Linked DNA regions of Oreochromis niloticus. The protein of the gene in region 2 purifies or fractionates together with the protein of the main gene of each other region. This does not show direct contact. Links are inferred from orthologs where the notes say so. Each region holds a gene or a part of one and is shown on either strand. Other genes may lie near its edges. The genes, in order: slc30a1a, csgalnact2 and slc30a5.

The links.
Region 1: the proteins of csgalnact2 (region 2) and slc30a1a purify together in Homo sapiens (co-immunoprecipitation; 3 studies listed by BioGRID and IntAct, counting the BioPlex papers as one, with this or other methods). This does not show direct contact. The link is inferred for Oreochromis niloticus from reciprocal best matches to the Homo sapiens genes CSGALNACT2 and SLC30A1.
Region 3: the proteins of csgalnact2 (region 2) and slc30a5 purify together in Homo sapiens (co-immunoprecipitation; 3 studies listed by BioGRID and IntAct, counting the BioPlex papers as one, with this or other methods). This does not show direct contact. The link is inferred for Oreochromis niloticus from reciprocal best matches to the Homo sapiens genes CSGALNACT2 and SLC30A5.

What each region holds. Positions count from the first base shown.
Region 1 is NC_031980.2:13,547,096-13,555,063, forward strand, and holds the start of slc30a1a (zinc transporter 1a), read right to left. Parts: upstream 3,055-7,968; 5' UTR 2,305-3,054; coding exon 1,731-2,304; intron 1-1,730. Other genes in the region: serine/threonine-protein kinase Nek2, read right to left, coding at 4,958-5,166, 5,444-5,520, 5,657-5,711, 6,409-6,643, 7,571-7,697, 7,798-7,880. UniProt on the Homo sapiens protein: Zinc ion:proton antiporter that could function at the plasma membrane mediating zinc efflux from cells against its electrochemical gradient protecting them from intracellular zinc accumulation and toxicity.
Region 2 is NC_031978.2:25,404,213-25,411,921, forward strand, and holds the start of csgalnact2 (chondroitin sulfate N-acetylgalactosaminyltransferase 2), read right to left. Parts: upstream 3,040-7,709; 5' UTR 2,893-3,039; intron 1,567-2,892; exon of another isoform or gene 1,456-1,566; 5' UTR 1,346-1,455; intron 1,215-1,345; 5' UTR 1,013-1,214; coding exon 364-1,012; intron 1-363. Other genes in the region: proto-oncogene tyrosine-protein kinase receptor Ret, read right to left, coding at 5,707-5,864, 6,743-6,890, 7,534-7,633. UniProt on the Homo sapiens protein: Transfers 1,4-N-acetylgalactosamine (GalNAc) from UDP-GalNAc to the non-reducing end of glucuronic acid (GlcUA). Required for addition of the first GalNAc to the core tetrasaccharide linker and for elongation of chondroitin chains.
Region 3 is NC_031972.2:31,370,423-31,378,394, reverse strand, and holds the start of slc30a5 (proton-coupled zinc antiporter SLC30A5), read right to left. Parts: upstream 3,067-7,972; 5' UTR 2,608-3,066; coding exon 2,537-2,607; intron 1,146-2,536; coding exon 1,023-1,145; intron 712-1,022; coding exon 645-711; intron 410-644; coding exon 324-409; intron 1-323. Other genes in the region: annexin A1-like, read right to left, coding at 4,011-4,067, 4,193-4,315, 4,957-5,015, 5,319-5,414, 6,230-6,323, 6,751-6,887, 7,099-7,189, 7,601-7,714. UniProt on the Homo sapiens protein: Together with SLC30A6 forms a functional proton-coupled zinc ion antiporter mediating zinc entry into the lumen of organelles along the secretory pathway.

The DNA.
Region 1 (7,968 bases), on a different chromosome or scaffold from region 2:
CCATAATAACACAGTTTAGGTTATCAAATTGTAAGAAATTGCAAGGACTAAGGTAACACAGTCCCTTTGTCTGGACTGACTATGCTTATACCCCACCCCCCCACCCCAAGGGCCCATTCTGAGCATGGGGACGATGCACACTGGACGATTGTTAATCATACACTTAAGACGGGGGAAAAAAATCATGTCACCTGACAACAGAATTCTGTGCATTGTCCTGTTGTTTTTGGTCATGTGATAAGAAAACATGTATTCAGTTTTGAATAACATTAAACCCCACTTTCCAACACTTCGTCAAAAACTCCCAGTGAACCCTATTCGGTTTTGTTTTTCTCCTGGTAAAAACCCTGGATGCCATCAAATGGCAGCCAGCTGTTAAATACGGTACCATTATTAAGAGCGAAAGGGGAAAAGTTCATGTGAAACTACATAACAATGTTGCAGATTTCACTGCTGAAGACTACATCTTGTGACTGAATCTGTGCTATATAACTGCCCAGGGCCACACTCAGGAAAACAACATACCAGATGACAAAAAAAAAAAAAAAAAAAAAAAAAAAAAACCAGCATGCAGGAACCTAAACGCAGCAAAATGCTGCTCAGTAATTCACATTAGGCAAATTCAGTTAGTAATGGCGGGCGGCGTGGCAACACTAAGCTGGGGCAACGGCACCTGAGCAACGGTGGCTCGCTTCCATTCCAGGGACCAAGCTGGTCCATTCATCAGCGGCTAATGGTGTGTCTGGGGCTGTCGGCTCCACGGCTCCACTGATGTATGGCCCAGTAACAGCAATCAGTGCATGGAGGGGCGGGGGATATAACCCCCATTTATTGAAACTGGCAGGGCCTAACAGTGCGGGGGGGGGAGAATAAATGAGCTTCTGTATGTTTAACCCTTCAGTTAGACTGACCAGCAGAAAGGGGCACAGAAGCTCTCCAGGGCTGCTGTGAAACTTTTTAACTGACATGTAGACACGAACAGGAGGTTATCAGTACTTTGAAAACAATCAGCTTGTCTGGTAAGAAGCGTTTAATGTAACAAAAATGTATGCTGGACAAGCTGATTGGCCAGCTGCTGCCCCGCTTTGGCCCTTGACCAGTTTTCCATCCACTCAATACCTTGTAGAAGCACAATTAAATTAAGAAGAAGTTAAAATAAAAGCTGTCTGTATGCAGATGAGTTTGTTTAGCTTCTGATTCTTTGCTGACAGCTGACAGCCAGGTGAGTGTAAAGGGTGGGCACCTACCTACTTCACTGCATTTATTTTTAAGCTTTAGTTACTAATTATTTAGCAGATAAGGTAACTCACTAAGCTCTTCAGGGGGTCACAGTCAGCGTGGAAATTCAGGTAAAAACTGACCATCGAGTTCAGTTTGACTTAACTGTGTCAGTCAGAAACTTCTCGTTATCTTTAATTATAAGCCAGAGTGAAACCCGATTCTTTGCCCGGATATGTCACCAACACGGAGACCATGTTTCCAAGGATAGAATGACCCAACAAATATGAGACGCCAAACATATGTCAAGAAAAAAAAACCCAAAAAACCAATACGGATTAGTCACTTGGGGAGTTGTCAGGGCAGGCTGGAGATAAACTGATGCACTGTTACACAATCTGGAGTGCTAACAGTGAAGATAAAGTCTGGCACATGTATTCAGATTAATGGTGGGACAGTGAGGGTGGACTGTTCATTTCAACACTAAAACACCAACAACTCTTATTGCTCACCATTTCTTGGTCTCCCATCGCCTGGGCTGTTGTGATTTCCTACCAAGTTGTTGGTCTCCTCTCCCGAAGACCCGTTTCCAGCCTTCGAGTTCTTGCTCGTTTTGCCCCGCTTATTCTTACTACCATGAGAGTGCCCTCCGTGGGAGTGTCCGTGGCCTCCGCCCGCGTGGCCGTGGAACAAGCAGAGCCCCAGCAGGTTAACCAGAAGCCCCGCGGCACCGACCCCGGCCACCACTACTGGAGACTCGATCTCGTGGGGCTCGGTGAAACGCTCGACCGCCTCCAGGACGATGGTGAAGCACAGCGCCGTGAGAAAGACGGCGTTGACCAGAGCCCCCATCACCTCCGCTCGGATCCATCCGAAGGTGTTCTTGTTGGTCGCCTGGGTTTTTTCGGCGAACCGGACCGCCACTAGAGCCACGACGAGTGCGATGACATCCGACAGCATATGGAAGGAGTCCGACAGCATTGACAGGGACGAGGTCATCCGACTGACCACCACCTCCACGATGAAAAACCCAAAAGTCAATGATAGCATGCACAGCAGCCGGGCACGATTGGGTTCGCAAGCCATTTTTCCTTCCTCACAGTCGATTCAAGTTTAAGTTAGCGTTGAAGAAATCAGCAGGTTTGAGAAAGACCAAGAAATCCCCACGACATCCGCTGGTTGGCTTTCCCGTTTAACTCCGGGTTGCGTTAAGCTAGCTTGGCTCCCTGTGACAATACGATCGCTGCTAATATCATCCGCGTAAAACACTCTTATTCGGCGACGGCAGCATCACTCGGCTACATCTGAGGACAAACACACACCGAATCAATTCGCGATTAAAAAACGATTCAGCAACCGTATAAATACCAGCACCTTCCTCGCTCGTTTTGCCGACGAGCTCCGCTTTGCAGACGGCTGAAACTTTGCACCCGAGCCGGTAAACTTTCCACACGGAACACGGCACAGAGGGGGACACGCCTACTACGATTTTCGTTGGTCGACGAGCTACAAGGAGGAACGTAATTGGTCACGTTCTGCATCTCTTGCAAGTAGGCGGCGCAAAGAAGCCAAACAACGGCGGTTGCTACGCACGCTAATGGCAAATGTAATATCGCGATGAGGTCCGTAACTGATTCGTAAATCTTGGCGTTTCAGCTGAAACCAGGTGACTGCGAAGAATCCTTTCAGTGCTTTTTAAATGAAACCAAACAATATGTTAAAACCATACAACATTCTCAATATCTAAAAGCTGTCAAAACCATAAACTTATGTTCCCTGTTCAATATCATGTGATTCTTTAATAGACTGTGTCTATTTTGGTTTTTTTATACGAACCCCCTGACATTGTGTTTGCTATTTTGTATTTGCATATCTGTATTTTGTGCTTTGTCAATAAAGCGTATTCAAAAAAAAAAAAAAAGGTGACTGCGAAGAATGACAAAAACTGAGCCTTTACCAGTAACAAACACTTTTTTTACACAATCACTGGTCTTTACTCAGCTTTTAATCACGGAAAATCCCTTAATAAATTTACTGGTGTTCCATCTACATACTGTAATTGCTTCCTTTATTTTATATTTTATTTTCCAAAAGTCCGTATACTTACGCTGTAAAATTAGTTAATTTTACATTAAGTTAAATACAAGCTGCCCCCCCCCCCCCCCCCCAAAAAAAAAAACAACCAAACTAGCAAACAAAAAAAACTCGCTAATCAAGCCAGTAAGCTACCAGCTTCAATGGAAATAATGACAAATGTAACAATAAATTACATCTAATCTGCTACTGACTCAAAGCAAAGGCTTGATTGCAAATTGCACTTGAATCTCTTTTCATGGAAAAGTGATGACCCCTTGTGGGAGCTAGTGTTATATAAAAACAATTCTATTACTGTGAAAATGATCAGCCTGTATATCTATCTCTTTTTTATATACATCTATTGCTACGCCAGTGTGAAAAACCACAGTAGAAATGAGTTTTGGCCCAACTTAGACCCACTACAGTCTGTATACATATGAAATATAGGAGTTGGTTTACAGAGATCCGACTCCACTTGTAAAACAGCCCTGTGATAGACCCCAGGGCAGATTCTTTTTTTCTGGCCGGGCAAACAAATTTATCCCTGTTAAAGTAACATAGACAGCTGTAATGTCTCTAGGCAACAAACAAGAGAAGCCCACATTTCCACACAAACTGAGTGGATAAAGAATTCCTCATTTATCCGTCATTTTTGCTTGTTTATATATCAAGTGCACACATATTAGAGCAGGGGTGGGGAACTCCAGGCCTCAAGGGCTGGTTTCCTGCAGGTTTTAGCTCTCACCCTCAGTCATCACACCTGAATCAAATGATTAGTTCATTACCAGGCCTCTGGAGAACTTCAAGACATGTTGAGGAAGTAATTTGGCCATTTAAATCAGCTGTGATGGATTAAGGACATATCTAAAACCTGCAAGACACCAGCCCTTGAGGCATGGAGTTCCCCCACCCCTGTATCAGGGTATGAGTGCATATTTTCAACAAGTGGTAACAATGTTTCAATCAAAAGACAAACTTCTCTTTGCGTTTTTGTAAGCAGTTCAGAAAGGCTGACTGTGAATGGCCCCACCACACATTTGAAGCCGTGGTAGAAGTGAGGTCACTAATCAGTCAGTTATGCATCATGGATAATCTAAACCCTCTGCACAACTTACTGTACAGGCAGCAGAATATCTTCTCTAACAGGATTCAGCTCCACTGCCACCAGAACACCTCTCAGACCACTTCCTGTTTCCTTCTATAATACCTGTTCTGTTCTATAATACCATATCTGTTTGGCAGATACTAAAATAATTACATCATCATTTCAACTGCTATAAAAAAAAATGCAAAAATTAAAAAAAAAAAAAAATCCCAAATATGGTATAGAACAAGTATTTATCATCACATCATGCCTACTTTAATGTAGTAATGATTACAATCACTTTGTTTATTGGCATCACAGGATCATGTCATTCCACATAGTCTCCCTTCTTCTAGAGATGTCTCTAAAGAATTTATGTCTACAGCCATAAATACAGCAAAAAACTATACACAGTACACTGATAATCACATTAGCTGCCCGTGATAACACACTCACTCATCAGACTAAATAAGACAGGAACACACACATTCACTACACGTCCACAGCTACACATGAACATTTTCATCCAGTTGTTATGACTCCAGGCCTTCAGAAGCTTTCACGGTCACATCTGTGCGATCAGCGCAGGCCGAGGATTTGCCTGCTCTTGAGCTGGCACATCTTCTCCATTTCACTCAGAGCTTGACTCCGCTGGGCCGCTGCCTGCAGCCTCCTGAGCAGCACCAGCTCCTGGGACGGCGTGCTCTGCAGAGCATCGGGCCGCTGGTTCTCTTTGCTCTCACCGGCAAAGTGGACCTTCTTCTTACCCGGAGAGAGGTTCTCCGCATCTAGACCAAAACAGTCGAGTAAACTTGTTAACAAATCACAATCTCAACAGCTGTGATTTTGAAGTGTGTCGTGTGAGCTTTTAGAACTGCACCTTTTTAAAAAATAATTTCTTTATTGTTGTATAAAAAATATTTACAATTTATATAAAAAAATAAATACATTTGATCCAAAGTCATTCACATTGTCGACACATGCGTTAAAACACATGTTAAAAATAAACTGCTCGGCTCTGGTCTTGGTTCAGTAAGTTCAGAAGTCTTCGCTGGATTCCCATACCTATGTCTTTGTCATTGATCGGTGTCAGGTCCCTGTGGTGCTGTAGGCGGCTGTAATTTTTCAGCAAACTCTCCACTCTGAAACGGTCGATTAAAAATAAAGGGGAAAAAATAAAAATCAGCTGGAAAGACCGCCAAAGAATGGTTAGAATGGAAAAAAAAAAAAAAAAAAAAAAGAATCGCTTAAATCGTTTCCATCTTAAAAGTTTTTTACCGTGCGAGCTTCTCATTTGCAAGTCGTTCACGAACACACAGCTCCTGCTCTCTTCCTGTCATTAAAAGACAAAAATGGACAGATTCAGTTTGGGAATTTATCCCTCACTTTTAAAGAAAGTACACCCTCTTTCAAGTCTAAACATCGAGACATCCTCAGAGGGTCTTAAAAAAAATAAAAAAAAAAAAATCAGGTAATATTTAAAAGTTTTATTATGTCTTCACAATCTTAGCATTAAAAGAGGAGGCATTTTATTTTTACCATAGCTGTATGTGTGACTAACAGTCTTTTATTTGGACATATTTCTGGGTACACACACTTTTACACTGCGGTGTGTAATCTCCACTGTCAGCCAGGAGCTGTAGGTGTAGAAGTAGGTCATCGTTCGGTTGCAACACTCCAAGCAACATGAACAAACCTGTTCCATCCACACAGGTTTCTTCAACTACACTTCCACCCTCTAAACAAGATGTAACTAGTACTTTCTAGGGTATTACTCAACTTTACTTATTGCTGCCAATGTGAAAACAAGTCCATAAACATGAGATAATACTGATGAGTCCTCTTTGCAGAAGAGGATGTTCCTGTTAGGATTAGCCTCTTCAAACTGATGTAAATTAAGTACTTCTCTACTAAAAATACAATCCACAGCTTTTCTAATTTCTCCCAAAATCCAGGCCAGACTACAGCGATACTGACAGACGTAGGCTTGAGCTATGTGCGGCTCAAAGCAGGGCTTAAACAGGTCTTACTCTCCAGCCGCTCCTCACGTTCTTTCAGTGCTGTTTCTCGGTCCCGCAGCGCCTGCTCCTTCAGTCTGAGCTCCGTGGCCGAGGCGGGCGCCGTCTCACCCGGTTTGTGGAGGGGAACGTCAGAATCAGCCGATCTCCTTTGGGGTCGCGACTGTGCCTTCCTCTGCTCCTCAGCAACCGCCTCGCTCAGCAGGCTGCTCTGGAGAATAGATTCTACAGAAGGTCTCAGATAGTCCTGCCAAGAGAAGGGGCCCATAAATGAAACATAAATAGCCTTTTTTCTTCCTGCCAATGTGGTGCTAGTGTAGCTGCCAGTGGTTCCATTTTGAGAACCAGTCCCCATTTCCATAAGTTTGAGGTCCAGTTATTATGTAATGCTGCTAGCAGAGCAGATATCTGATGGCACTTTAAGGGTGGAAATGTTTGGAAACCATTCCAGATCAGACACCAGCATCACGTCGGTGCAAAACCATAGACCGCATAAAAGATGGATGTAGCCACCATGACATCAAATTTTAAAGCCTTGAGCTCAATGTTTTCACTGTCACAGCTTGTCTATCCAGGGTGTGTGTGTACCCCGGATAAACCTCTTTTCTGATTCTACTCCAGGGCAGCTGTAGCTTGGGAGGTAAAGCTACAGCTGCCCTATTTGTAGAGTGGGTGGTTTGATCTTGGCTGCTGCAATCCACATGTCAAGTGTCCTTGGACAAGATACTGAACAACAAATTGGCCCAGTTCAGGATCTACCGGAGAGTGAGCAAGCGTGAGAAAGTTAGAAAAAGCACCTAAAGGCACCGTATGAATGTGTGTGAGAATGGGTGAATGTGGGTGGTGGTAAAAAGTGCTTAGAGTTCTCATTTAACTAGAATTTATAAAATTAACTTCACGTTTTATTCAATGACCTAAAACTAGCACTTGACTCCATAAAGTCATGAGGAAAGTGTTTAGGGAGGGAGCTGAGGGCCAGTTTGCCATGGACAGCACTAAAACTAGAGCAGTTGCCCCCTGCAGGCTGTTAGAAAGAATGCAAGGTTTGAAGTATTTCTGCACAGGATTCCCTTTTCCAGATGTGGACATGCAGTCCATCTTTTATACCGTCTAAAATAATCCAATAGCTCAGGCACCATATCGTGTAAATTTTAAAAATAAATTCAATTCCAACCTTTAAGTTGAGCATTTTGCCGAGCAGGGTGTTCAGCTCCTCAGAGTACCGGTACGGGATCCTTCTGAACTTCCCCTCTCTGATCTTTTCTGCCAGCTCTTTTTGGTTGTAAGCAGTAAAAGGAGGCCTGGAGAGGAAAACGAAAAATGCAGGAAAAACTGCAAGATCTGCAGCCAAACAGTTTGCAGTGGGAAAATCAGCTAAAGCGGAACAGCTGGAAAACTTACGATAAGGCACAGAGTTCGTAGAGCAGACATCCCAGAGACCAAATATCGGACTTCTCGTTGTATGACATCCGGTTTATTTGTTCCTGACAGAAGAAAAGAGATAGTGTTAAATGCTTATTAAGCTATTTGTCCCTATTTTTTTTTATCATGAAGTAAAACAAAGATTAGCAA
Region 2 (7,709 bases):
TTGCAGCTCACACAATTTGAACATTTAACCAGTGCAAAATTTATATTACTAAATACAGACTGTTCACTAAATCTGATAACTGTCATACGCCAACATCAATCAATAGGCAATATTGGCCAATGTTAGTCAGATAGTGTATATCAGTGCAACCCAGTGCTCCTTTATCTTAATAAAATGTACTAACCAAATCAGATTTGGAACAAAGGCTCAGTTTATTATTCTGGATCGTTAAAAATAGATTTTGCTGGTGAATTTTTTTTTCAACGAGTCTCTTCACTGAGTGGAAATTGTTAATAAAAGGTTCATTTTGAACACTGGCTACAGTCATTACCTCTTAGTCTGTAATTTAACTGAGAGTCTCACCTTCAGTAAAGTGACCATCTGTGTAGGTTTGCCTCTGCATTGGCACATCATCCTCCACACCATCCTCCTCGTCAGGGTTGTTGATGATGTCTAGTGCGGCCTCGATGACCTCCACCAGCTCATCCCTGCGGTCCTTGCGGACTGGTTTCTCCTCTGGGTGCCGCGTCAGCCCCATTTCCAGCTGGTACACCTTGGAAGAAGTAAAACTCTCAAACGGCACCAAGGCATACTCGCTTGGTAGGCGAGCTCCAGTGTTGACCTCAGCCTTGTCGATCTGAGAATGCAAGTACTCCAGCAAATCTCCAGGCTCTTGGTCTTTATCGGCCAGACCCGGAACTCCTGGAAGCTCTTTTTTCTCTTGGAGAACTTTCAACTTCTCGCTCATTTCCTGTAATTCCTGCTTAAGCTGGGCAATTTGCCGCTTCAGACTGGCAGCACGGTTCAGGTGGCGCTCCTCCTGTTCCTGGAGCAGGGCCTGGTAGTATTCTTTTCCATAGGTCTCTCCTACAGGGCCCGGTAGGATCAGGCTGACGTCTGCTGGTGGAGTGCACTCCAGCAGGTATGCAAACAGCAGCAACACCAGCAGCAGAAAAAGACCCAGGAAGAGCCAGCGGACCCGACCCTGGAGTGGCAACCCCCGCCTGGGCATCACGTTCTCATAAAAGCTATAGCTGACAAGCCTGCATTCCCTTCGCCACCCAGACTGCTCACATTACTTAAAACAGGTTTCTATACATCATCTTAGAGACATGGGTGTGTAGGTAATTTTGGAATAAAGAGATCTTGTTCTTTGGCTCCAATGCATCAGTATTTCCACACATAGGTCCTGTGTAAATCCACAAAACGATCAGCTGTTAAAAACACAGAAATCCACAATCAGGAAAAAAAAAAGCCACAATCCAGGATCCCAATACAGGGACTTTTGTTAAAAACAGTGATGACAAAACAGCAGATAATCATACAATGACATTTAATGTGTTACCTTTAAGCAACCTTTCAAATAAACCAACCTGCTATCTACAGTTTCCATCAGTCAGTAAGTTTCTGTTGAACATGCATCCGACTTCTTCACTTCAAAGATTCCGTTTAAACCTGAGGAAGGAGGGACAGCAGGGATTAGCTACACCTGGACAGCTAACACACGCCAGCTAGCTCTCAGCCAAACAACAGCACACACAAGGAAACTGGTGGGCGAGCTTCACAGAAAGCTAGCTACAGGCTGACTTCCGGTGTAGCCTTTTTCTCTTCAAAATAAATGCACGGGCTTTGTGCAAAGCGGCAAGACCAAACACTCCAGATTCCGAGAGGTACCTTCTTGGAATGAAAGTGGACAAAACAAGTGAAACACACACAGCGTCCAAGGCCGATTTGTGATTACCTTTTGAATTACAGGCTGGGTAAATGTCACACAAGGCTCACCAGTCAAGAATCCCTTGTAAAAAGCCAGCCTTCAGGAATTTCCACGCCTAATATCGTATCAACCAGATACCATGTGCAGCAGGTTCTTGAAGGCCACACAGCTCCAGGCTTACACTTACAAAGTAACACTGTTTTCAGGCTCTCACACCCAGATATAAATCAGTCTCTAGACAGCTATAATGAAATCAGCAGGGCTCTGAATCCAGCCAGAACTGGAACTGAGCTTGTGCTGATGTTTTAAAAGCCGTAGCTGTCAAAATACTTTTTTGTACATTTATTTTTTTAACCTTAATGCTTTCTTCTAAAAATGAGATCTTGAATGTTTAACACCAAACACAGAAATATAAAATATTAATGATTCTTATTAACATGCTGAAAGGCAACTAAGATATGAGCCTTTCAGATTGTAACTACTCGCACAAAGAATGTCTAACGCAAAACTGTTCTGCTGATGAAATGTCACAAAAATGAGGAACCGATTTTAAAAAGTGGTTGTTAAACAGTTTGGGGGATTTTGTGTGTGTGTGTGTGTGTGTGTGTGTGTATATGTGTGTGTGTGTGTGTGTGGAGGGGAGTGTGGAGTATGGAGGGGGGGGGCTTTAACAGCCCTGCCACAATGTGTCTTTTCGTTTTGCGTCACATACAAGTATCTTTAGTACCATCCGCTGACTCACAGAAAGCATGTCAACATGACACTGCATGATTTTAACATAGCTTAAGTCAAGGACAAAGTAACACCAGACTGCCTAAAAAACAACAGAACCAAGTCATGCTAATGATGGGAGACTTTCAAACTCTAATTAAGCTACTGGTATGGCGACAGAGAAAAGTTAGCTATATTTCCAGAAAAACTCTTAGCCCAAAACCTCTGATAATTAGATTTTTTTCCCCTAGTGGCATATCTGCAAATTTCAGCACCTTCAATTCTTTTGAAATTTGCGACATTACAGGCAGCACATCCCCTTATTTTGAAAAAATTCGAACCGGACATGGCTACAGTTCTGCTGCTAGCTTAGCGATGTTCCGAGGTTCACTTCGCTTTCGGGTTTTTATTCTCACCCGTTAGAAAGCCTGTCTGTTAATCATAGCATTCCCCAAACGTTCACTCACCTAATCCCGTCTTTGTCCATTCCTGCCCCTCATTACAGCTGTTGCATTTTGTGTTAAACTAGCAGCAGTAGGTAGGTTGTGTTACAGAATGCCACGGAGCAAAGAGAAAAGAGTGGGTTGTAACCTACTTCCGGTTAAAAACTAACCAATCGCAGCGTGTCTAACGAGTGTCGTCATCAAACACGCCGATCCTCCAGGTTCATAATATTGTTTATTTTTATTAAAATAACGACGTTATTATTATATTGTAGCTCTAAAGGCATTATTGTTATTATTAGAACACACCAATGATTTTTTTTTTAACTCTCATACAGACTACCGCATCTTCCAATAACGTAACAACGTTAATCTGTTGTTTTAAAAAAGCTATATTTAACCTTCCCTCTAAGAGATTATTGTATTTTCTTCCCGTTTCACTGTTCAGACCGAGAAGGCAAACCTCTTATCTGAGGTGATGGACTAGCTGACAGCTCTGGATTGAATTAGCACTGAAACATAATTTGTTTAATGTTCGAAAACAAGTGATATGATCTCATTGTGGTGCACAAAATAAGCCAGGAAATGTTCTCGTGGGATTCTGTTTATAGTCGTTATTTTTTCATTTTCTTAATTAGGAGAGAAGAAGACAGATGTTATCTGAAAGGCCAGAATCACTGCGGAAAATAGTCTTAGAAACTATTTTAATAAACAAATCGTTTCCTTGTACTTTCTATTTTAATCATATGATGTTTCTGTAACGTGGGTCTAACCAGTCAGTATTATGTGTAGGTGTAAAAAAAGTAAAGGGGGTCGTTTAATGTTACACACACACACACACACACACACACACACACACACACACACACACATCGGGTATCTTTAAAAAGATTTTTAAAAAGTACAGATCTAGTTTCGTGCTTCAACTCCAACACCAAAACCTTCATCTGCTTTTCAGTATTATATATATTCACTGGGCTGGTTTGGACTCCCTTTTGAGTTCAAAACTGTTTTAACTCTTAATTTTGGAAAGACTTCTCAGAGATGTTGTCCAAAGTCACATAACAGCATAACGCTACACATCCATGATGTGAATTCTCCATTTCACCACATACAAAAGGTGCTCTATTGAAGTGGCATTGGGTGACTGTGAAAGCCATTTGGGTACAGTGAACTCACTGTCATGTTCAAACCAGTTTGAGATGATTTGAGCTTTTTCCTATGTTAAATTGTCCTGTTAGAAGCAGCGATTGGTAAATGTGTACGCTGTGGTCATAAAGGAATAGACATGATCAGCAGCAATAAATCGGTGGGCTGTGGTGTTTAAACAATGCTTAGTTAGTACTGAGGGGCCCAAAGCAAATATCCCCCAAACTATTACACCACCATGTCCAGACTATCCAATCTTCTCTCATCCAATGGGTTCAGAAATGCTCTTCTGCATAGTGATTTGAGTTGCTGTTGTTTTCCTATCAGCTTCGAGTCATCAGCTCAAAGCATTTTTATCCAGACCACTGCAGCTCACTGGATATTTTCTCTTTTTCAGACCATTCTCTGTAAACCTCAGAGTTGGTTGTGTGGGGAAAATCCCACTCAATTTCCTAGTTTCTGAAGTACTCAGACCAGCCACCAACCGTGCCACTTTCAAAATCACTGACAAAGTCGTCATTCTGATGGTCAAGCTGAAGGTCATCTGGACCGGGTCTACATGCTTAAATGCATTCAGTTGCTGATGTGTGATTGGCTGATTAGATACATGGGCTAACAAGTAGTTGAACAGGTGTAGCTACTGAAGTAGCAGGTGACTGTATGTGCTTACAATCAAAAGAAATGTGAAGCAGTGTTGAAACTTATAGAAATAAAGTATCAGAATCCTTGCAATGGTCAGGCATCCTAAATGTTTAATACTAATTTAGAAAGAAATATTTTCTATTGTGTATAATTAACAAATAATATTTGAGGGGTGAACTTTGGCTAAACATACTGTAATTATTTTCACAGATATAAGGGGAACAGACATTGTACATTTTTTAATATTTATTAATAACTGGAACATAACAAATAATAACAACATAACAGCAAGGACACGAGTTGGTTTACAGAATCATATTTTTCCACAAAGGCTGCCATTACAGTGAAGGACAATGTGAACTATAACATTAAGTCTACATTAATCCTCGTGTCCTTTCACTGGAGTGGCATTCAAAAGATGATGTTTTCAATGTGAAAAAACAAGAGCAAAAGTAAGAAAACCATTCACTGAACATGTCTGCTTTACTTTTCTTTGGCGAGACCAGTTTCAAGACATCTCGTGGGAAAAACACAAAATAAAGGGTCTTTGACATTTCGAGGAGCACAATCCTCTAAAGTAGAAACTTTTTTTTTTTTTTTAATTTTCAGAATAAGTTCAGCATTTCGTTTTCGTCCACTCAATCCCAGCTTTCTACAACAGGTGATGGTAAAGGCGTCCCCTTTAATTCCTGGGCTTGAAACTTCAAAGTCACACATGAACATTTGGAAGCTATTGTAGAAGCAGCACAGGCACTTAAAAGACATTGACACTGACATACAATCTGGTACAATAGTCATGCAGTGATACAGTTTGGCCGACATAACCAGTGAGGTAATAATAATTAACATACTGAAGAGCTGAGTGAAGCATGGTCTATGTTGGTCCAGCCGGTTTCGCAGCAAAAAGACCCCAGTCGGAAAGGTTGCTTACCCGTGCAACAGAAATAAAAGGGAACCAACTTTAGCATCAGATCGTTTATGTACAGTCTTACAGAAATATACACATCTATACCACTTAGTCGTCTTTTCTACAGGGTCGGTCTGTCTTTAGCTATCAAGCTTGTCCACAGCTTTTGCGGGTGAAGGCAAAGCCATCCAGTTTGCATAAACACTATCATTGGCATATCTTGTAAAGACCGGATTAGTGGCATCATGTCTGTTGAGCAGTACCGGGCTCGTCTCGGGCCAGTTGGGGTATGACATGCCTAAAAACGAGAACACATCATTTTTCTGCACTCAGTGAAAGAAAAACAGCGTGCAGACAGTAAGGTTCTCAAACAAAACTCTCCAAAACAAATCCTGATCTGATTTTAAGAAGTGTAAAGTTATGGCTTTGTATTGTATATGCAACAGAATAAATGATAATGTAATTCGTTAATTTTTTTTTTTTTTTTGTCATTTATTAAGCCTACATTGTTACTATTGCCCCTACATTTCGCTTGGGGCAATATGCAACATGTTGTCTACTTGTAATCAGTGTCAACTGAGAGTTGCATTCAAAAGCCTTACTGTTTCTCTGTTCATCATAATGGATTAAGAGCTAATGTACATTAGAAAGACAGGAAATTTATCACAATCTGAAATTCAAACCACAATGAGTGATTGAATCAGTGAGGACCTGTTTCAAATGTTACACACCGTTTCCTCCAGTGCAAATAAATGACGAGATGAGGACAATGTGGAAATGAATGGGGGAAAAAAACAAAACTATTTACAAATTAAAAATGCAGATGAAGCATGAGTATGAGGAGTGGATTTTAAATAAGAATGAAGGGTATTTATATTCAATATTTACAAATATAGCAATTTTTGGTCAGTGCTTGTGTACATTAGAAGCAGGTCCGAATAAAACAAAAAAAAAAGTCAAGACACAGGAGCTTTTTTTTTTTTTTTTTTAGCTGAGCCTCTCATTTACGATGAAATGGGAGCTATGTCAGCATTAGCGAAAGGCATGCCTAGATCACAGTCACACACACTTGACTACGGGAAAAAAAAAAAAAAAGCCAATCACAACTTGCCAAAAAAGAGAGCTTGTGTAGTGTGTCCTGTTTCTAAAATCGAGTAAATGCATGGGAGATTCTACCATAGAGCTTGTTTTCAATCCATGTGGAGGGGAGGGTTCGAGGGAGAGGGGCGTTATTACAGTCCACTAGTGGTGTGTCCTCTTCAGAGAGGGCGTCGTCGTACAGCAGGGCATCGGCTGGAGTGGACGCCGCCAGATCCAGGTAATCCTGACAAGAGCAGATGAGGGTGTGATTAGGCTGATTAAGGAGGAGGGGGATTGTAGCATGCAAAGGTCGGACGAGTGACCCGTGCACTGACTGCAAGCTCCAGCAGACATTTCTGCCAAATTGTTCTCTTTACCGCATCCAGCGTCTTGCTCATTATCTGGTATTGATAACAGTGAAGAACGAGCCCTCTGCGTTATAGGATGCCTGCATTCCCATCTGCTCAAACGCTCTATATTTAGCCTCACTTCTGCAGCAGGAGCCTGACTGGCATGCTCTGTGATTACACTGCCCAAGGCCACATTTAGGATTGCTCTTCAAACACTAATTATGGTATCTTAGGAGTTTTGGGGAGAGTGACAGTTCATACAGCATAACACAGCATGTGTCTGTGTGTGTGCTGGACAAAGCACATGCTGTCCTTAAAAAATGATACACTGCTTATTTTAGACTAGCTCCAAATCTGAAAGGAGCGTAAAGTGGAAAAATAAAACCCCTCAAACTTGTATCTGTCAGATCATCACTGAAGTGTTGTCAAAATCGCGCCAGTAACACACAGAAAGAGGCTGATTTATAGCTCCCCCGCTTCCTTGCCGGGGAGGAAAACAAATAAAGTACTACAAGGTATTTTATAGCTTCAACATACCCGACTTTTCACCATCATCTTCTCCAGTTCTTTGCTGATGTCTGCAAATGTCGGCCTCTTGTCTGGTTCTTGCTTCCAGCATCGGAGCATGAGGTTATACCTTGAAAAGAGGAGCACCTTTCAACACTCTAAAAAGTAATTCAGAGGCTTAGTAAATATCATTATAAATATAAGTT
Region 3 (7,972 bases), on a different chromosome or scaffold from region 2:
ATACTTGCTTACTACATTAAATTACCACTTTAAAGTAGCTGTGTAAAATGAGATGCTACTGTACTAACTGAAGAAACATGCAAATATAAAGACATAAAGACAGGTGTCAAATAATTCTAGTGGAAATTCTGCCAGGCAAAGCAGGGTTGTGTCCTTGTACACCTCTGGCTGACCTGACTGTCTTGTTTCTTTCAAGAGACCACCAAACAACCATTTTTAGTCCAAAGAAACACAATGAGACTCGGGGAGGGATTTGAACTGTTTTTCCTGCACCTCTAATGCTGCATTTTGTTTTATTTAACTACTGTTTAACTACTTCTTACCTAAGAGGTCCACAAAGAGTTAGGCCGAAGAAGCCCAGGAGGGATATGACACAGCTGAAAACAGCATGCTTTAACAACTTTATCCACTGCAAAGAAAGCAGATTCATCAACAGACATTAACACAATGCACAAGGTGTTTTTTTTCCTTTTGCAAAGCCAGACTTAAAATATCTTAAGCATGACATATATAAGAAAGGCTATAACAAAATCACCAAATATTTAGCAAACATTCACGTGTTCAAGCTAATGAACAACAGGAAAAAGAACAGGAAAATTAGAGGTTGAAAAACTGACAAATTTAAAAGGTAAAGTCCAACAAACCTGTCTTTTTGAGATGACTTTTCCAGATGAAAAAGGTTTTTGGAAAAAAAGCAGAAACACTGCACTCCTAAGACCAAAACAAACAACCAAAAAAAGTATCAGCATGTTTTCACCATCCATAAATACAAAATTAGCAAAAGGTCTTGGTGAATAATCACATTTTGTCTTTTAACTCCACCTCAAAAACCTCAAACTCACTCACTGCAGCTGGTAACACGTTCAGCTGAGATGATGGACATTAAATATCTATTCATCGCTCTTATTGAGCAAGTGTGTGAAGTCAACAAAAATTGACCAGAATAACTGTAATTAAGATTTTTGTCACTACAGAGCAGCCCTAACTAACAATAATACATAAAACAAACAAAGAGTACTTACCCTAATTTCAGTATGAAGATGAACTGAACTATGTGAACCACTTTGAGGATATCGTATGACTCAAAGATCCCAAGAGCTTTGAGGACCTTCGAGATGACCAGCAGAACAATGTACCTGGTTAACCTGTACAAGGAAAGAACACACTACACATTAGTACAGACTGTGGTGATAAGAGTAAAATCAACTGTCATTTACACTGATGCCCCTCCTAAAATCTAACACCATCTCTTTTTGTCTTGACCATATTAGAGGTAGAGACAGGTAAAAAGAAAAACTTTAATTCACTGATGGTTTAAAGAGAGTCTGTGTGTTCCTTTTTTGCATCTCAGACTTTCAACATAACAACACGTCATGCCACCTACAGAAACACTGAAAATTATGCAGTGATTGGATTCATTAGTCATGGGCAGGAGAAGGAGTACAGAGCACTAGTTGAATGATTTTAGACATAGAGAGACTCTCTAAGTCTTTTGTGGTGTGATCTAAGACAGCGGTCCCCAACCCCCGGGCCATGGACTGGTCCGTGAGTCGTTTGGTACTGGGCCGTGAGAGTTGAGACTCGGGTGTGAAATGCATGGTTTTCAGGGTTTTAATCGTTATTTTTTACCGTTTTTTATCATTAACTCTGTTTCCCTGGGTGTTTTCCTGTGTTATTATTACATCTTTTTTTGTACCGGTACTGGTTTTATGCTGTTTCTGTATTTATCTGCGATACTTTAAAGGCCGGTCCGTGAAAATATTGTCAGACATAAACCGGTCCATGGCCCAAAAAAGTTGGGGACCGCTGATCTAGGAGGAGGAATGATCTGCTTTTGAATGTGAATAAGACCAGAGAGATGGTGAACAACTTAAGCTGTGCATATCCTGGGACAGGATGTTGATGTGGTGGAGGAATACAAGTACCCATGTGTCCACATCTACAACAAGATGAACTGGAAGTCAACGACAGAGGGTGTATAGAAGAAGAAAACGATCAAGCTCTATTTCCTAAGCTATAGTTTGAAGATTTTCTCAGTTAGTTGTGGTGAATGGAGTGTAATGTGCTGTGGTCTGCTGGTGATTCAGCATCACAGCCCGTGACACAACAGACTGGATAAACCAATTCTTAGACAACCCCTGATAATTTTTAGATGTCCACTAAAACATAGCATGCTAGAGTCAATCTTGAAGGTTTTTATACCAACATACCGCTCAGATTAAGGGCATAATTAATACTAATTAATTAATAATACTTAATAATAATGTAATGACTGTTAGTTTATAAGTAAATCTGAACACTTTTTGTCATAGTGTTCTTAACTATGGTGTCTGGTTGCAAATATCGGACACAACAAACAATGGGAAATAATAATGGGTTTTCCACTGCTGTGGACAATTTATAGCGTAATCAATTCTTCATAAACGCTAACATATGGACTACAGACTCATGGATGAGATTTGACTGATTCCGTGACATAAAAACAGTTAAATCAGTTTAAACTGACTGAGTTTTTAATGAAGGGTGGAGAACATACCTGGAATCGGGCACTTCGACCATCCCCAGCTGACCCCCTGAGAGCACGTTGCTGCTGTATTTTTCTTCCATTTTCAAGCTCCCCAAACCACCAGCTCCACTCCACCGACAGTTACATCTGTTACTTGTGCATCGTTTACATCGCTGCTGGCGGGAGAGTCAGCTTAAACTACTGTCTGTTCACTGCCGGAGAAAATAAACGGGCTTCTTCTGCGTCCTATTCATCCTCCCGTCAGTGTCTGATGTGTAAACTACAATCAGCTGGTAGCCTTGTTAGCGTATTAGCCGGCTAGCTAGCCACTTTTCCCCCAAAGTTTCCAGTGGCGTCACGTCCTCGGTGTACGGTTCACGTGACCCAGGCGCATGTGGACTCGCGGTCAGAAAAAGATAATGAAAAGTTATGAGTCTGAAGTGGCCGCAATAACTGAGAAAATCCGCAATGACAGGATAAAGAAAATCAAACACCCAAGCTGCCCGTGTTGCCACGACACTTCCGGACACGGTAAACTGTCCACGTCACGTGCAGTTATTCGTCAGCCTTGCGCCTGCGCAGATGATGAGGATAGGGTTTTTTTTAAACTTTATTTAGAAAGTTGTTTTATATACTTTTTATAAACATTTTCGACGTTTCTTTCTTTCTTTCTTTCTAGAGAAACATACAAACATATTTTAAAAAGTTGTCCTGTGTCGTGTCCTCCGTTTATGCTGTGTGCTCCTCTGCTTCGCCTGTTCGGTTTGTTTTTCTTCTACTCTGTATGTTTTTGTTTCTCCTGTGGGTTTCCAGCAATGAGTTTTGAGTTCATATTTTGTCTCCTGGGAGACGTAAACCAAGTGCTGCTATCTGGGACCAAATGCTGCTTACCACTCAGTGTTATGAGCAATTTTTTAACCAGATGCAAAACATACCACATTTCTTTTCAGTCCTTTCAAATAAAAGTCTCATACATTTTGGCATTGGAGATTTGGGTTTTTTTTGTTGTTGTTTGTTGTTGTTTTTTGTTGTTGTTGTTTTTAAAAAAGCATTTTGTGTTTTCAAAGCACTAAAAAAAATGTGCATGATATTAACCAATTCAAAACTTTATTTTAACCCTAGATGGTTTTGCCAGTAGGTGGAGGCTATGGGCTTATGTAATATAAAAGCCTTACTTCTGATACAAAGTAAAGATTTTGAAGATTAAATAGAAAATACTGTACTTGATTTCCCATTTTATCTTCTGCATTTCCAATAACCAAATATATTTTAATATACATTTCTACAACTTCCTCATACGTTATCTTTCAAAAGACATTAAAAGAAAAAGAAGAAATACATTTTGCCAGAAAGAAGGCATGAAATGCTTGGTGCTGGAATAACTTCTTTATTAAAGTTTAATCTCAAAAGAACAGAGTAGTCATGCATTTCAGAGTTAAAGCTGTGAGTATTTAGTGGAATAAGTTGGTCTCGGTTTCCAGAGTAAAATGGTAACAGATGAAGTTCAAAAAGCTCCACACAGGCTAAGCAGGACTTTCCGATAGTGCTCCTTGGTGTCTTTCTGTGGAACAAAGATATTATTAGCTGAAATATTCAGATACTGTATGCTGTCATTTGAGTTCACAATTAGTAAAAGCAACATAATAACAATGGGTTTTTTGTGTTTTGCTTTTTTTTTTTTTTTACCTCTATGTCATCATTTAGGGATCTTTGGTGACAGTTCCAGTATACCTCCTTGATCTTCTTGAGGTCGACCTCAGAGCGACTCACCAGTATCCTGTTGAGAGTTTTCTCACACGTGCCTGGTTTCTGTGAGAGCAGAGCAAAGTTTTGGTTATTGAATACTGTAAAAAATAATCTAAAAGGTTATGCTGTACAGACGTTATGTTGGCGTTAAGCTCCAAACACTTATTCAAGAGTTAACCTTTCAGTGTTTTGGGTGGCCAAGAGTACGGACTCCTTCAGCAACTCGCGGTGTTCCTGTAGCTGTGCAGTATCCTAACACAACTAAATAGTATTTACAAGTACTCTCAACTGTCTGAGGCAAAAGTCTAAGCCATTCATCGTGGCATTTTCTAAATGCCATTTGTTAAACTAAGGTTATATAAAGTAAATTTAAAACAAACTAGTGCTGTTATTTGGTATGCTGTTAAGTACTGTATACTTAATATAGCTTAAGTCTTTAAGGGGACTTAATTTTTGAGGGAACAAGTAAGTGAAGTAAGTAAATAAGTGAAAAAGTGAATCTGTTTTGCAATGTAGATACTGCAGAAGTGCTCAGTTTCAAACTGCTTGAACAGTTTAAGACATCCAGCCTACTCACAGACTTGAACCTTCCTTTTAAAATACATAAATCAATGTACATTTATCTGAATGGATGAATACACACACAAGCGCACACACACACACACACACACACACACACACACACGGAAAAAAAAAATACACACCTCTAAAGCCTTAACAAGCTTCTGGGCAAAGACAGCTGGTGTGTTCCAGGCATATTTTGCTATGGACATCAAAGAGAGATAAACAGTTACAAAATGATCTCAAGTTGAGTCCAGATGCTACCTCACAGCTGTGTTATAGCCCATACCGTGGAAATCTGTTTTCAGGTTATAATCAATCTTAAATATTTCCTGATCTAAATGTACACAAGACGTGCTATGGCATCACATTTGTGATACACATTTCCTGCTCACGAGAGGATGGATTTCATCACTCGCACGTCCTTTGACCTCAGCCCACCCCCACCTTGAACAGAAAATAAAATGAAAACTACATAATCTGATGAGGACAAACATCAACTTACCAAGGTCGATGAGACAATTTTCAGTGTCTCCTTTCAGCTCCTTTTTCAGCACTGTGGGTAATTTGACGTCCGTTTGTTTGCTATATGCCTCCAATACTAACAGGTAAACAGACAAACAGGTAATTCTGGGTTATTAGACCAAATCCAAATATGTTCTTAAGGCTATGCAGCATATTTAATTAGCAGCTGAGGAAATAAATAGGTTTTAAAATATTTATAAACATAAACATTCAGATTTTAGTGAACAGTGAAACATTAGACTGAAGTTCTAAAAAAGAAGAAAGCAAATACCGCATTACTTCACCCAACAGCAGCTTCGATTGGAAATTTATGCGATTGTACGACAGATTCCAGGATCATCAGTTCAAACAACTCTATGCAAATACAACTTATTCAGAAGGGTCACCATTTTGCTGAGGTTTGGAAGAAGACCTTCAAGTTCAACTGAAATTTACAGCTGCCCACATGGAAGCGCTAAATGCCTTCTCAAGAAAGGTTTCATGGTCTGATGAGACAAAATTGAGCTATTTGGCCACAGTGACAGGAGGTATGTTTGGAAGAGTATAGCTGAGGCTTTCAAACCTAAGAAAACTGCACCAAGTGTCAAGCACAGCAGTGGTAGCATCAAGCTCTGGGACTGTTTTGCTGCTACTGATACATACATTGCACAAAGTGGGGTGGATAATTAAGAAGAAGGACTAGTTCCAAATTCCTCAGCTTTAAATAGTAAACAGACTTCATAACTCACTTAAAATCCAGACTGACTTTGACTCTGTATTGTTCTCACACTGCTGGGTGTGTTTCACCTCCTACCTGCAAGAGTGTGGTTCCACCTGTTTTTCTAGATGTACGTTGTGTCTAATGAGTCAAACCCAACCAAGAAGAAGTGTTCAGACTTTTCAAGAACTCACCTTTTCGGAGGTGAGGATAGCTGCGCTTGGTCATCAAGTCAATGAAGGTGGACACGTTGAATTTGCTGCCCTGCTCACATAATGTCAGCAGCGTCTACAGACAGACAAAAAAATGGATGATAATCATAATGACTTATACTTAACTGCAGTTCCTCTAGTGGCCACATGAGACTGGCTGCAAAAGTCAGCTACTGACTTCCACGGTAAAGTCCCTAGAATTACTACACTAATAAACATATTTACAGCCTGATACAAAGGACTGCTTTATTAGTTTGGTACTTAGCAGATAAAGCACAGTTTATGGGTGTAGATTGCTAACCAAGTGTGCTAATGTCCACCAACAACATGTTTGAATTAATGACCATCTTTTATACCCTCTGTGATTGTTACATTATGTGCACAAGAGAAACTAGTCCATATTTGGCCAAACGCCACAGATAGGAACCATCAAAACATCTTCTCACATAATTTGGTGACAACATAAAGCAAAATAGTTTAAGATTTTGGTTACATGAATTTACCTTTGTGTCTTTTGAAACAAGATCATTGTCTACGCGAGTGCTCTCATCTCTACCTCCACTTAGTAATTCCAGGAGGATCTTGGTGTAGTTGCCACTGGTCTCATTTTTAATAACTTCTTCCAGCTCTGTTTTGTACTCTGAGGAATCAGAAGAATTTCAGAATAATGGTAACAGTTTACAACAATATGATGGCCAAATGTGACTACAATAAGTCTAGCTTGCTAGCAGCTACAGACACTGGAGACACTTATGAGTGTCAGCTAGATATCTAAGATGTTGTATAAAATTCAATCTTAGTTCAGTAAACCCAAACAACAACCATGTGATATCACATGACTGTGATAAAACCTTGTTTGAAGGCCTTCTTGATCTCTTGAATCTCTTGGTTTGTTCTCGTTGCCAAAATCTCAGTCAGAACTTCCTCATCTGTGCCCATACCCTGTTGGATAAATCAAATAACAAAAATAATAAAATCTATAAACAGAAAGAAAAAAATATTTATTTAAATATCCCTCAAACAGAATTACAACTAAGTAGTTTTTTTATAACTTATTCTGATCAATATGTTTAGCTATTCCTTAACATTAGCATAAAAATATCCTTCAGTTCAAACTATGGTTCAGTGTGCTGCTGGGAGGGTTCTTGGCCCATACTGAACCCACTAGCAAATTTGTGATCACCATTTAATTCAGTTCATAGTAACACAACCTAAATGATAAACTTAGTCTAAATACGTAACCTCTTAATGAACTGAAAAAAAATTAAAACTATAACACTGCTTAATGAATTAAAACAAAAGAAGTAATATTGCCCCAAATCAAAGGTTTAGTACATAAACCACAGATCCTACCTTTGTGGCTTTCCTAAGTTCGTAGGCATCATAGTGAGCTGGTGTCATGAGCAGTCCCAGACAGATGACCTCCAAGTGTGCTGTCAGAACTGCTTTCAAATCGTCAGCCAGCTTCTGCAACACACAAGCATGATCTACATGAAGGACTACTATTCACTGTAATCATCTTTGAGCTTAAATTAAACATATGAAGGTTATCTTTCTATATGAACACTGCCTTTTTAGACCAATTGTGACTCAGTTATATGGTTGTCCAAAAATAATACAGATTTTTTTTGCATTCAGTGACAGATACCAAGGGTTCAAGCCCCTCAACATCTAGAGAACCACTTTCAATTGAAAGTTGCCTGGTGGTGGGCAATCTGTCTCTTG